Linked DNA regions of Caenorhabditis elegans. The protein of the gene in region 2 purifies or fractionates together with the protein of the main gene of each other region. This does not show direct contact. Each region holds a gene or a part of one and is shown on either strand. Other genes may lie near its edges.

Region 1 (8,000 bases), on a different chromosome or scaffold from region 2:
TCCTACTCCACTAATTTTTTCAATTTTCAAAGATAAAAACTAAAAAGCTAGTAAAATAGATTAAATTGTACCTTTGGTGGGTTTAAGATATGCTCAAATGGATTCTTTTTTGTCTCCTTGATACCCTGTCCACCAACCAATGCGTCCATATCAACCAATTTCGTGAAAGCTTCTTCAAGCGACGTCACCTTCTTTTCACTCCAGGTTTCGGCCCTGAATCTTGTTTTTGATTATTATTAATTTAGGTTTTAGAATATCACTCACTTATTATCTCCAAAGTTGGCAAAAGTGCTGGCGTGATGCAATGATGACTGCTGTTGTTGGATATTAGTAGATGGTGCCATATTCTCTTTCGTAGTCCCAGTTCCAGTCCAATCAATATTTGAATTTGGAATAGCAGAGGAATGTACAGAGAATGGATCACGGTATTGTGTTGGAGCAACAGTTGGAAGTGGTGGTGGCGGAGCTTGAGTATTGAAAGCCGACGCAAATGGATTAGTATCCGAGAATCCGTTTGTTCCGAAAGCAGGTGTACTATGAGCATGGTGCATTTGTTGCTGCTGTTGTTGTTGTCCCCAAGCGTCAAATGATCCAGCTCCGGATGTTGGCCAATTCTGATGAGATTGTTGAGGAATTTGAACCATTGGCATCTGCATTTGTTGAACTTGTGGAAGTTGAAGTCCTCCAAATGGCACTTGAGTTCCAGACATATTTGCAGTTCCATTTGACGTGGCTGTACTGTTGAAGCTGTCTACGAAAGGATCTCCAAATGGTGATGCTCCGAAGGCATCACAGTTTGTCGGGACAGTTGAAAGTTGTTGAACTCCTCGTTCAATTTGCTGAAGTTCGGATTCCAAGTCGAGAAGATCAGCGACGGCGACTCCACCTTCCTTCTTGCTCTGGAACTTTTATAAAGTCATAACAATGGACTTTTATAATTTAAAAATGCATTGGATCTTTGGAATTATTCTAAAAACTCACACTAATTTCAGCTCCACCATCTTGAATCTGTTGTTGCTTAACTTGCTCAATCTGTTTTTTCTTCATTTCAAAAACAACTTGGAACATGTCTCTGATAGCAAGAACTGCTTGATCAGCTGCCTGTGCTGTTTTGATTCCATAGAACTTGTACTTGCCTCCAGGTTCACCGTAAACAAGTCCAAAAGCTCGAGCATCAGAAGAATCACGAGCGATGAAAGAGATTCTTGATACTGGGAAATTATGAAGAACAGCGCCGCTCTTTTCATCAAGAACTTTGATTCCATCAATGTTGATTTGAAGAGTAATACGTGTTTTGTGAGCTCCAGCAGCCTTGATAATACTCTTGGCAGTTCGCATTGCTTCAGCACACATTGCATCTCCTCGAGCCTTGTCCACATCTTGTTCTCCGATCAGCTTTCCCTGAAATAACAATTTTACAAAAACTACTACATGAATCATTAAAAAAAACTCACCTTGTAGGAAATTCCATTGTTTTGAAAGCGAAACGGATCCGATGATGCATTTGATGCTAAAAAGTTTAAATTTTAGATTGATAATTATAGAGTAAATCATACCCCGCGCCTTTTTCTGCTTGAATGATTTGGAAAACGAACGCCCTAATTGCGTCTTTTTCATGATAATTAGGTATTCACTTAAAATGAAATTTGCAAAATCTATTAATGAGTTTAAAAGTATACAAACACTCGTTAGAAATCGATATAGAAATCACATAGAGCGGGCGCTAGAGAGCGTAAAGAGATAAGAAAACGAAGTGAGACGCAGAGAAGAAAGGAGCAAACTTTCTGCTTGGCAGATCATTGTCACAAGTTTTTGGGGGAAAAGAAAGAGTGAACCAATAAACTTTGAACTCTTTCCTGAAAATGTTATAGATAACAAAAAGATAACATTATCTATCTGTTGAAAATTGGCAAAAAGGCTATCTTCTCGTTAAATTATCAAATTGATATCTCTACATTCACAATTGGATACTCTCAAAAATTGAGAAATCATTTTTTCGGAACTCAGCTATGTTCTCACCTTTCTTGGTTCTCTTCAGCATTGCAAGTCGGGACTTTGGTGATGGTGGATTTGGTTTTCCAGATGTTGCATTTGCCGTTTCCACTGATATATCCGACTTTTGAGCCATTGTTTCGAGAGAACCTTTAGAAATAAGATTTATTACAACGAAAAAAAAATAGAATTTAAAAATTACAGTAAAAGAAAACTAAGAGTATAACAAAGCTTTTTGGAACGAAAGTGAGACCAAAAAGAATTGTGAGGTGGTGGTGGGGGATAGAGTGTGAAAGGAGGGTGAAATCATGATCAGCCCCCTTGGGGGCACATGATCGACCGGTTTTCATCTCCATATCGGAATAAAAGAATACAAAAAAATGAAGACGACCGTGAAAAAGTGCAGTAGTCATTTTTCATACTTCAAGGTGACAAGTTGACACTGGATATGTACTTGTTATTACTTTCGAAATGGAAATAAGAAAAAATGTCGGATTCAAATAGCAATACTTTTCAAAAGCACTATGCAATCTTGAAAATAATTCTTAGGTAAATAAAGTTATTTCATACTGACAAATATTTTGAAGACACACCTTTCCAATTTGAGCGACGATATATTCTAATTAATTTATGACATGATTCAGAATAATATTTCAAAAAACGCGAGATCATTACGTAGACGTAATCTAAAGTTGATACGAGTTACAGTAACCCGTTGTCCGCGTGGCGAGACCGAGCGCGTAAGATCTGGCGAAAAATTCTATGAAGCCGAGAAATTGATTTTTTACAAATATTCAATTCAATCTTTTTTATTTTATTACAGTCAACCTTGAACTAAGAAAAATAGACTGTTCTTCATTTATTTTGCGGTCAGGGGACATTCTTTTACATCAGCTGATTACAATCTTGACAGGAATGGGAGTACGTAGTGTGTGATGTAGTTAGTTTCATAAAATCGAGATCAGGACTGTAACTTAATTATTGTAATAGTCAATGCATAATAGAACACTAAATCACAGTAGAAGAAAGAAAACGAAAACAGATTGACATTGTTAGTCATCCAAACCGAAGTGAGTCACTACTGTGTTGACTGGAGAATACGACAACTGTGAGGATCTGAATTATTACGAAATCAAGAGAAATCAGCCATAAAACTATCGGAAATCGTTTGGGCGATCCCAAAACTCTTATGTGTAACAAAAACGACAAAAATAAAGAAGATTTGTTGACCAACAATCAGGTAATGTCGTCAAGTTTTGCAGAGAAACATTTCATGACTAAACCAAATAGGGAAAATCAATACAAATATGGAACAATAGCCAGAACGACGGAAACATGGCCAAAAGGTGTGCGTAGCTTTGCTCAGCAACCAGACGATCAAGTTGCTCTCACACTCTCTTCTTCCGCGCGGAAACTCGCCGGAACACTCCTCCTTTTCCTCCAAAACTCAATGTGTGCTTGACTACTAGATTTACAGGACACACACACCTTCGGGGATGCCGCCAGTCATTTTGCAAACATGACGTAAAAGAAAGACAGCTGCAGTCAGTCTCTTGTGAATTTATCTGCCTCTATCTGATGTCCTTTTACCTCTCTGATCTTGATGATTCCTAGGCTAGGATCCCCCGTTACGTAACATCTTGATTTCACATTTTGCTGCGTTGAATTAATGCGTCACCTGGACAGTGGATGGGAAAATGGGCAAGAAAATCGAAATATTGGAAGAAGATGTTAGACACGAAGGCAAGAAAAATCTTGTTTCTCTTTTATATGGGTTAGTATCGAATTGAAAACTTGGGAAACAGTGAATAGCAACATAATAATTATATCCTAACCAGCGTAATTTACCAAAATATTTCAAAAACTTTCAAATCGATAGGGATAATTTGAAATCGTTTTAGGGTACTGCACATTACGCAAATTTTTTGTTCGGTTCAAAAATAATTAAAATATCATTCTTATTCAGCATTATTATAAGGACAAAAATAAAGGAACAACATTAATGCAGCTAGGTCTATTAATGTCAAATCCGTCGGGAATCGTAATAAGCTTAGCTGTCAGATACGGAAACCTAAGTATTTACACTCATGTCGAGTACTGTAGCATATATTCAAATGAGGCAAACCAAAAACCGGAGAAACGGAAAACAAGCAGGCGTCAAGAATGAGAATGAAAAGAAGCAGAATAACGTTCATCTAACTGAATACTTCGTCAGCACCATCATCATCAACGTCTCCTACATCTACTAATCGGAGAAATCTCAACACACTTGTGATCATGGCCATCATTAGAAAATTACTATTAATATAATGATGTCTTTTTTTTCGTTTTCGCTTCTATTCAAGTCTGATGCGATGATAAAATTCTGTTGATGACGACGACGAAGCGGCGGCGGACGTTTTATGAAAATCAGGTTCTTTTTCGGAGCGGAAATTGAAGGTGACCGTTGAAAACACAAAAAGTAACTTCGAAAAAATGAATTTTATTTCTTTTTGTTGTTGTTATTGAAAACAAAAAATCGAGAAGAGAAACACCCAAAATTCTCAAAAGCATCAAAACAATTATTGGAAAGAGACCGTACTACGAAGGGATTATAATTCCAATATGAACACACAATAAAAGATGCGAAATAAGAAATGTGTTATACTTCTTCAACACACAACAATACCATCTGAAGGACACACTAACCAAATCGATCGAACACGTAAGTAATTGGAGTTGAGGTCAAAATTGCAGCCGAGTCAGTAGTAGTAGGCGGAAAGAAACAATAGTGACTCATCTAAACAAAAGCATGAGTGGGAGGGACGGTGAATAAAGCGAGGGACTTTTCGTGCCGAGACCACGAGGATTGACGAATAACATCTATCGATTCAAGTAATTGAAGCGGAACGAACGCTTTTTGGTGTTGACGGGAGGATTGGGTGGGGACGAACGGCGGGACAGGATAATTACCCGAAACTGCGCAGAAAAAAAAACATGGACAATGGTTTCAAACCAAAATTGTGAAGATCATGGAAACTAAATAATAGAGACAAGAAAACGAAACTTGTGAGTACCAATGGTAGTTCTCTAAAATAGAAAGTAAAATAATGTTTATTTACTACAAAGCATACAGAGAAGATGTAGATTAATTAACTACTACTATACTAAGCTCTATTGAAACGGGAAACCATGTCACTATGCACCATGTCAACAATATGGTTCAGTACGAAGCGTTAATTTTTTTGGAAACAGAATGTATTTATCTCCAAAACTCTTTTAAAACCCGCATCGTTTCGTCTAAAAACTCAGATAAAAAGGTAGAAAATTTCATTACTAGGGATATTGAATGATATTTTATAATTTTATAATTAAGATATTCGAGTTTTCTTAAAAAAGGACGCCTCAGAAACCACTAATTTTATCATGCATAAATAAAACTGACAGGATCAGATCACCAAAAAAGCCGGCTTTCCTTTGCCTCCACTCAAATTGAGACAAATATCGACTGAAGAGGGACCCCTACTAATGCTGCATGCTGGACATGTCTACGTCTCTCATCCTCTTCTACTTTTCTTTTCTTCACGGACATCCTCCGCGTGTGTATGTGAGCGTGCGCGCACACGAGAGGTAGAAAAGGGTTAAAAACACTCTGCATACAGTCACTGTGTCCAGACCAGTTTTTTGTCTTAGACTGAGAGAATAGTTTTGAGGCGAAGACGAGAGAGAGAAGCGAATAAAATTGAAAGAAATCAGTTGCCTATTCTTCTATTCATTGTCGCAAACCTCGACAAGCATCACCATTACTACGCAGATCGAGAATAAAGTTTAAAATTTTATAATGTAAAGAAAAATGACAAAAATTGAAAACCTGTCTCAAGGAAAGATGAATGAAGTTTCTAACGAAAAAAGAATTGAGATTTGCGCGGGTAGATCAAAGGTTACTGTAGCAAATTTTTTCAAAAACTATTTAATTTTATAGGTCTAAATTTTAAATAAATTCAAACAAACCTGCGAAACGGCGAAATTCTCTCGATTACTGTTTATATTATTCCTTCTCATATTAGATTTCATTTACATTCGCCAGTGACACGATTTCCTAAATATTTATTCAAAATCGAGTCAACGTAAAACTGTGAGCATTTGATGAGAAAACAGAGCAAGCTATATAAATGGGGAACAACCCCAACAAGAACTATGATGAAAAAAAAAAAAAACAATTTTGATGCCCATTTTTATTTGTGGTGGAGGTGGTGATGATGATAATAACGGAAGGACAATTAGTTAAAACAGGAAAAACGTAGAATTCAAGGAAGTGGAAAATTTAAGATGGGCTGATGAGAGGATATTAAAATTAACCAATTGTCACAATTTCTAGAAGATCCAGGAATCAGACCGAAGGCACTGACTTACACACAATTAGGAAATTTGGAAAAGAAATGAAGCTAAGAGCTAGTCAAAAGTCTTCGTTTTACGATAAATTCGATGCAATTCAACGAAATTCCAGCACTCCGAAAAAATTCAGCGACTTTTCGACCGTCTCTTAGAAAAGACCCTTTAAGCACGAAAACAAGCATAGCAAGAAATGTTCTCGGGACCAACTGGTATGGAAATATGAAGGGAGAAACCAATAAAAAACCAACAGCTAATTTAGAAACAATAAACAAGGAGACTATGAAAGGGTTATTCAAATAGAAAAACGAATGAAAGAAATGGGAACTGGGAGCAAATAAACGAAACGGGAATCCAAATGAGGATATAAATATTTAATGATTTGGAGGAAAACGTGATATTTTTAGTGATCATCAGAAGAAAAGGGTAAGGTGGGTGGGAAAGGGGCTATAACGAGTTGATTTCTGCGTCTCGAAACGAAAAATGAAGAGAATCTTCACGTTTCGAGACGAGTTGTAGAATGAGCGGAAGTTTGCAGGAAAAATGATCTGAATGTCTGAAAATTGATTTACTTCAGCTAAATCATGATAATCAGTTATTCATTTTGAAACTTTTCTTGCAAACCTCTAACAAAAGAAAAACAAGCAATAATATCGAAAACCATTAATGGGATACCCAATAAGACATAAAATCGGTAGGGATGGACGCGCGGCGAAAAAACGAAAAACTTGACATGTTTAGACCGTATTATCAACAACTCGTTCTTATATAGATAATTAAAATGGGTTTTAGCACACAAAAAAGTTCTCTATAAATCTACTGTGGAGTTTGAAAATCCAAAAATACGATAAATTAGTTGCCCGTCAAATAGCTCGACAACGTTTTTCCATTTTTAAACGTCACTGCTTCCATTTCTGCTGAAAGTCCTTCTTCCATCTCAGTCTTTAACTTCATGTCCGAAAACTCCCACGAGATTCCTTCTGCAGCGCCAGTCACTTCAAGCTCAAGCTCGATCTGAAAAAAATTAAATTAAAAAAATAAACGCAATGTACTGAATCTGAGCACTAAAATTTGCAATAACTCACCAATTGCTTCAAAACTTGAACAAGAAGGTCAAATTTCTTATTTCCTTCTCCTTTGGCAGCTGAGAAAATTGGCTTCATGTCCGCTAATGAGAAAGATTCAACTTCTCCAATTTCGTCATGTGGAGCATGACTTGTGTTCACGAGAACTTCACCAGTAACGGTCCACAATTTGGGATAATCTTGCTGGAGCTCAACATCATTAGCGAATTTGCAGAAACGGGTAGCTCTGAAATAATTTGTAAAGCTCAATAAATCATAAACTCTTGCCTTACCCCTCTATAAAAGCTTGCTTCTCAGTCTTGCTGACCAATGACATCCGCAGAGCAATAGCCAACTTCTTTCGATCATCATCCTTCAAACCTTTTTCGATCACAGCTCGGATAATCATCTCATAGACTACTGTCAATGACGGCGAACCGTATTTTTCTTTTCCAACATAATCGGTGATAGAGTCAACCAATTCCTTTTGGGAGAGCTCACCACTAGACATTTCTAGAAGATCGGATTTAACGGTATTCATAATCTTGGCTCTGACAGCTTTCTCTTCTTCAG
Region 2 (4,912 bases):
GGACAATTTTCATTAAATTAGGTGATTTCCATGTGGAAAACTCATCATAAAATTGAAAATTTTGTATTAAACGGAAAAATTTTAATAAAATAAACAGAAAATGAACTGAAATTGGTTGAGGCTCACACTACAAACTACACATTTCTTCAGCCTCCCCAAACTTGGTTGAGGCTAGAAAAAGTGTAGTTTGCAGTGCGTGAGCCTCAACCAATTATCACTTGGACAGTTTGGCCTGCAAAATATGAAATTTTATGAAAAACTGGGTTTTTTTGGGGGGAAAATTGTACTAAAAAAGCTAAGTTTCACGTTCAAAACGGAAAAAAATGAAATTGAATGAGGCTCCCACTACAAACTACAACTCCACAGCCTCTAAAAACTTGGTTGAGGCTAGAAAAAGTGTAGTTTGTAGTGTAAGCCTCAACCAATTATTATTTACACAGTTTGAGCTGCAAAATGGAATAATTTATTGAAAAACTGATTTTTTAGGCAAAATTTTACTAAAAAGCTAAGTTTCACGTCGAAAACGGAATAGAAAACTAAAAATAAATTTGGTTGAGGCTCACACTACAAACTACAACTCCACAGCCTCATCAAATCTGGTTGAGGCTAGAAAAAGTGTAGTTTGTAGTGCGTGAGCCTCAACCAAGCTGCAAATTTGTCAAAAAACTTGGTTTTCCGGACAAGTTTTAGGCGATTTTCATGTTGAAAACTGAATTTTCAAAATTCTGTTAAAATAAACAAAAAATGAACTGAAATTGAGTGAGGCTCACAATACAAACTACAACTCCACAGCCTCCCCAAATTTGGTTGAGGCTAGAAAAAGTGTAGTTTGTAGTGTGTGAGCCTCAACCAAGCTACAAAATTCGAAAATTCGTTGAAAAACTTGTTTTTCTCGACAATTTTTACTAAAACATGCGATTTTCATTTTGAAAACTCATCAGAATAATTTTTTAAAAAATTCTATTAAAATTAACAACAGAAATAAAATGAAATAAATTTAGTTGAGGCTCTCACACTACAAACTACACACTTTTTCAGCCTCAACCCACCGCCAAAACCTCAATTTTTGAGCCAAAATCGCCATTTTTTCCTTTTTTTTTTTTCCACAAAATCCAACCTGATAATCAACATGAACAGTCTTCAGAAGCGTATTCAACGCCACATATCGAATATTCTTATCCGTATTCAAAAGGAATCGTCCAAGAATGTTCACAGCCAAAATGCGCAGGCCACTCTCGCTCTTAATCTCCATAATCGTGAGTACAGTCTCATAGAGAATCGCGTTTCCGACATTTTTCGCCGTTTCCGTATTCGTTGCCACTTGCGCCAGAATATCATTCATCTCTTCAGTGACACGTACGTCATCCTTCCCCAAAACTCTCAATAATCTCAGAATTTTGACCTGAAGGAACGGGTCAGAGATGCCGGTGACGTCGTGTTCCGGCGAATATCCACTCATTAGAAGATTCTTTAGAATCCGTACCAAATTCGGCACCAATTTCTTAAAATGATTCAAGACATCCGGAGATTTCTCGCACATTTCTGTGACCAAAGTCGTTGCGCCCATCAAAACTCCGTGATTTTTCTCTCCCAGAAGCGATCGGGTACATGGAATGAAGACTTCCATCAGCTCCGGCACTTTTCGAACGATACGGAACGCACAGAGCGCCGCTTTTTTCTTTAAATACGCATTGTTCTGCTTGATGATCTTCTCAACCTCGTTGGCCAGGTCTCGACACATTTCCGCTGAGCAAATTGAGCCCAGAGTGCAGAGAGCTAGTCCGCTGACGAATTGGGTGGAACAGGTGAGGTCGCTGGAAATGAAGAATTTAGTTTTAAAAAATAGAGTTTTCCGCGGAAATTGGGATTTTTTGCTTTTATTGTATCGAAAAATAGTGAAAATTCGATGAAAAACATTGAAAATGAGCAAAATATTAGTTGAGGCTCAGGCTACAAACTACAACTTCTGTCAGCCTCACCAAATTGGAAAACAAATCGTTTAAAATTTGGATTTTTAGCAAAATTTTCACCTTTTTTGCTCAATTTCCGGATTTTACAACCAATTTCTCTATTATTTCGTCGAAAAATAGTGAAAATTCGATGAAAAACATTGAAAATGAGCAAAATATTAGTTGAGGCTAAGACTACAAACTACAACTTTCTGTCAGCCTCACCAAAGTTGGAAGAAATCGTTTTATATTTGGATTTCTAGCAAAATCGTGAATTTTAAAGCAAAAATTCCAGTTTTTAGAACCAAATTCACTAATTTTAGCTCGAAAAATAGTAAAAATTGATGAAAAATCACTAAAAATGAGCAAAATCAAGTTAAAAATCTTGGTTGAGGCTTAGGCTACAAACTACAACTTTTGTCAGCCTCCCCAAAGCTGCTGGTTGAGGCTAAAAAAGTTGTAGTTTGTAGTCTACGCCTCAACCAAAATAATAATTCTTCGGATTTTTTTGTTTTCTATAGCATTTTTTACTGTAAAATCTCATTTTTGCATTGAAAATCCTTTAAAAATTGCTTTTTCTTCAAAAAATCAAATTTTGATGAGAAAAATCGCAGAAAAAAAGCTTTTAAACAAGATTTTTTCATTTTCATGGGTTTTTGCTAACTTTTTAAGCGAATTAGTGACGAGCATATGAACTTCCGATCGTTCATCGAGAAGAAGCATAGCTCCAAGATACCCAATTCGTTTGTCAGTGAATCGGGGGTGAGCCACCAGTTTCATGCACTCCATCTGAATAACAAATAATTTAATTTCCGGCGAAAAACGGTTCAATAACCTGTCCAAAATGCGCTGGGTAGCCGAGCATATGAATATAGAGCAATTTCGCGATATTTCTACATTTCCACGGAGAATCATCGTCTCGGAAGCTTTCTCGAATATTCGCACTTTCTCTATCCACCACTGCTCGCTCTTCAGCCATCGTTCGTGCCGCTCTGACCTGCCGAATTAGGTCTCGAAGCCGCATCGGAGTGCCGAGAGTTCTGAAAAAATAGAATTTACTGGGGAAATTTCGCAAAAATTTGAGTTTTTTAATGTTACAAACCTTCCAATCTTCGACTTATACTCATCGATCTTCTCAATGGCTAGCTCGACAGCCGTCGCCATCCTTGGAGCCTCACCCTGCAAAAATTCCTCATTTTTTGACGTTTTTTTTGGAGTTTTTTAGTTTTTTTTACAGCTCAGCAGTGAAAGTAAGTGGAATAAGTGAAATAAACGACGCTTATTAGTGAAAAAATGAATTTTTTAATCAAAAAATCACGAAAATCCACTAGAAAAAGCTGAAAAATCAGTGACAACACTGCAATTTTATTGATTTTTTGCATTTTACAATCCAACGCAGGGGGCGAGTCCGCAATTGCGCGTGAGGTCTGGTGTGGAGGTACCCGATTGCAGACCGTAGTAGGGGGAATTTAATTTTTGTTTTTTTTCTTTTTTCAATTTTTCGATTAAAAATCACTGAAACTTGAACTTTTCGCCAAAAAAATCGATTTTTTCCAGATGAACACCGAAGAATCGTCGTCCTCACAAGAATTGGAGGAGAAAAAACCGTCTCTCCGCGCTGAAAGATGCGGGATAGCGTCGCTTTTGTCTTCGGTAATTAAATTTCACTTGTTTTCCAAAGAAAAACCGCTTGCTTTTTAGCTCCGCAGTGACCATCTTGCGTCGAAAATCGATGAGCTATCGACCACAGAGGCTGCTGCTTCAGAAGAAATTCCCGAAGAAATCCCAGAAAACCGCCCATTAAATCGAAAAGAGAAGCGAAAACTCCAGAGAATGCAGGAAATTGACCAAGAAGTCAAGAAAAAAGCTCAAGAACCTGTAGAAATCGCCGAAATCCCCACAAATCTTAAAAATACATTTTGGTATCTGAAAATTCGAATTTTAAGTCAAAAAATCTGAAATTTTCAGCGATAAAGCCACTTTCAACTCGTACAACGCTCAATTCGGCTATAAATCAACGGAAAATAATAATTTTGTGCACTTTTCCATTCAAAATGAACAGGGAAACCGGGCTCTTGTGGCTTCACAGGATAGATTTATAAGAATGTATAAAATAGATGAAACTGTCGGTTTTTCTTCCAAAATTTCTGTAAAATAACGCTAAAAATTGCAGCCAGAAGTGATATGGAAGCATAATACGGGAAATTTGGTGCTGGATTCTTGTTGGGAAAACTCTGGAAAAGGGGTGTTCTCGTCGTCAAAACTGCGTCCAATTCAGCTATTTGATACGGAAAATGGAAGTATTCTCGGTGCTTATAATGGAAAAGATGCTGGGGTTGGTTTTTTTTTTTGCAAAAAAAAAAACGAAAAAAAAATGCTTAAAAATTGACATTTTTACATAAAAATCCAAAAAAAATTGGTTGAGGCTCAGAGACTACAAACTACAATTTTCTGAGCCCCAACCAATATTGGGTGAGGCTAAAAATAGTTGTAGTTTGTAGTCTTTAAAAGTAATTTTTCACTTTTTTTTCAATTAAAATCTGTTTTTTAATCAAATTTGTGCCAAAAACCTCTAAAAATAACTGAAAATTGCTAATTTTTTAAACAAAAATGCATTGATTGAGGCTCAGACTACAAACTACAATTTTCTGAGCCTCAACCAATATTGGGTGAGGCTGAAAAAGTTGTAGTTTGTAGTCTCTAAAAGAAATGTTTCACTTTTTTTCAAATTAAAGCTGCTTTTTAATCAAATTTGTGCCAAAAACTCGAAAAACCACGAAAAATTAAAATCTTCGCCTATTAATTCATTTCGAGACTACAAACTACAACTTTTTGAGCCTCAACCATTTTGTAGTTTGTAGTATAGTCGTTTTTCTGCAAATTTGATAAGTTTCAGAATTTAACATTTTAAAAAAATTTCCCTTAAAATTTATATAAAAAACAATCAATAAAAGTTAGACTAC

What was found.
Region 1: the proteins of apg-1 (region 2) and dab-1 purify together in Caenorhabditis elegans (affinity purification with western blotting, with the first as the bait; one study listed by BioGRID). This does not show direct contact.

The regions. Positions count from the first base shown.
Region 1 is NC_003280.10:8,220,458-8,228,457, reverse strand, and holds the start of dab-1 (PID domain-containing protein), read right to left. Parts: upstream 6,071-8,000; 5' UTR 5,983-6,070; intron 2,143-5,982; 5' UTR 2,129-2,142; coding exon 2,020-2,128; intron 1,739-2,019; exon of another isoform or gene 1,618-1,738; coding exon of another isoform or gene 1,557-1,617; intron 1,511-1,556; coding exon 1,455-1,510; intron 1,402-1,454; coding exon 982-1,401; intron 906-981; coding exon 265-905; intron 220-264; coding exon 72-219; intron 1-71. Other genes in the region: ifg-1 (MIF4G domain-containing protein), read right to left, coding at 7,216-7,377, 7,449-7,674, 7,721-8,000.
Region 2 is NC_003279.8:14,404,244-14,409,155, reverse strand, and holds the start of apg-1 (AP-1 complex subunit gamma), read right to left. Parts: upstream 3,129-4,912; 5' UTR 3,114-3,128; coding exon 3,052-3,113; intron 2,990-3,051; coding exon 2,785-2,989; intron 2,739-2,784; coding exon 2,614-2,738; intron 1,815-2,613; coding exon 1,118-1,814; intron 1-1,117. Other genes in the region: tcab-1 (WD_REPEATS_REGION domain-containing protein), read left to right, coding at 3,507-3,602, 3,651-3,871, 3,918-4,074, 4,123-4,284.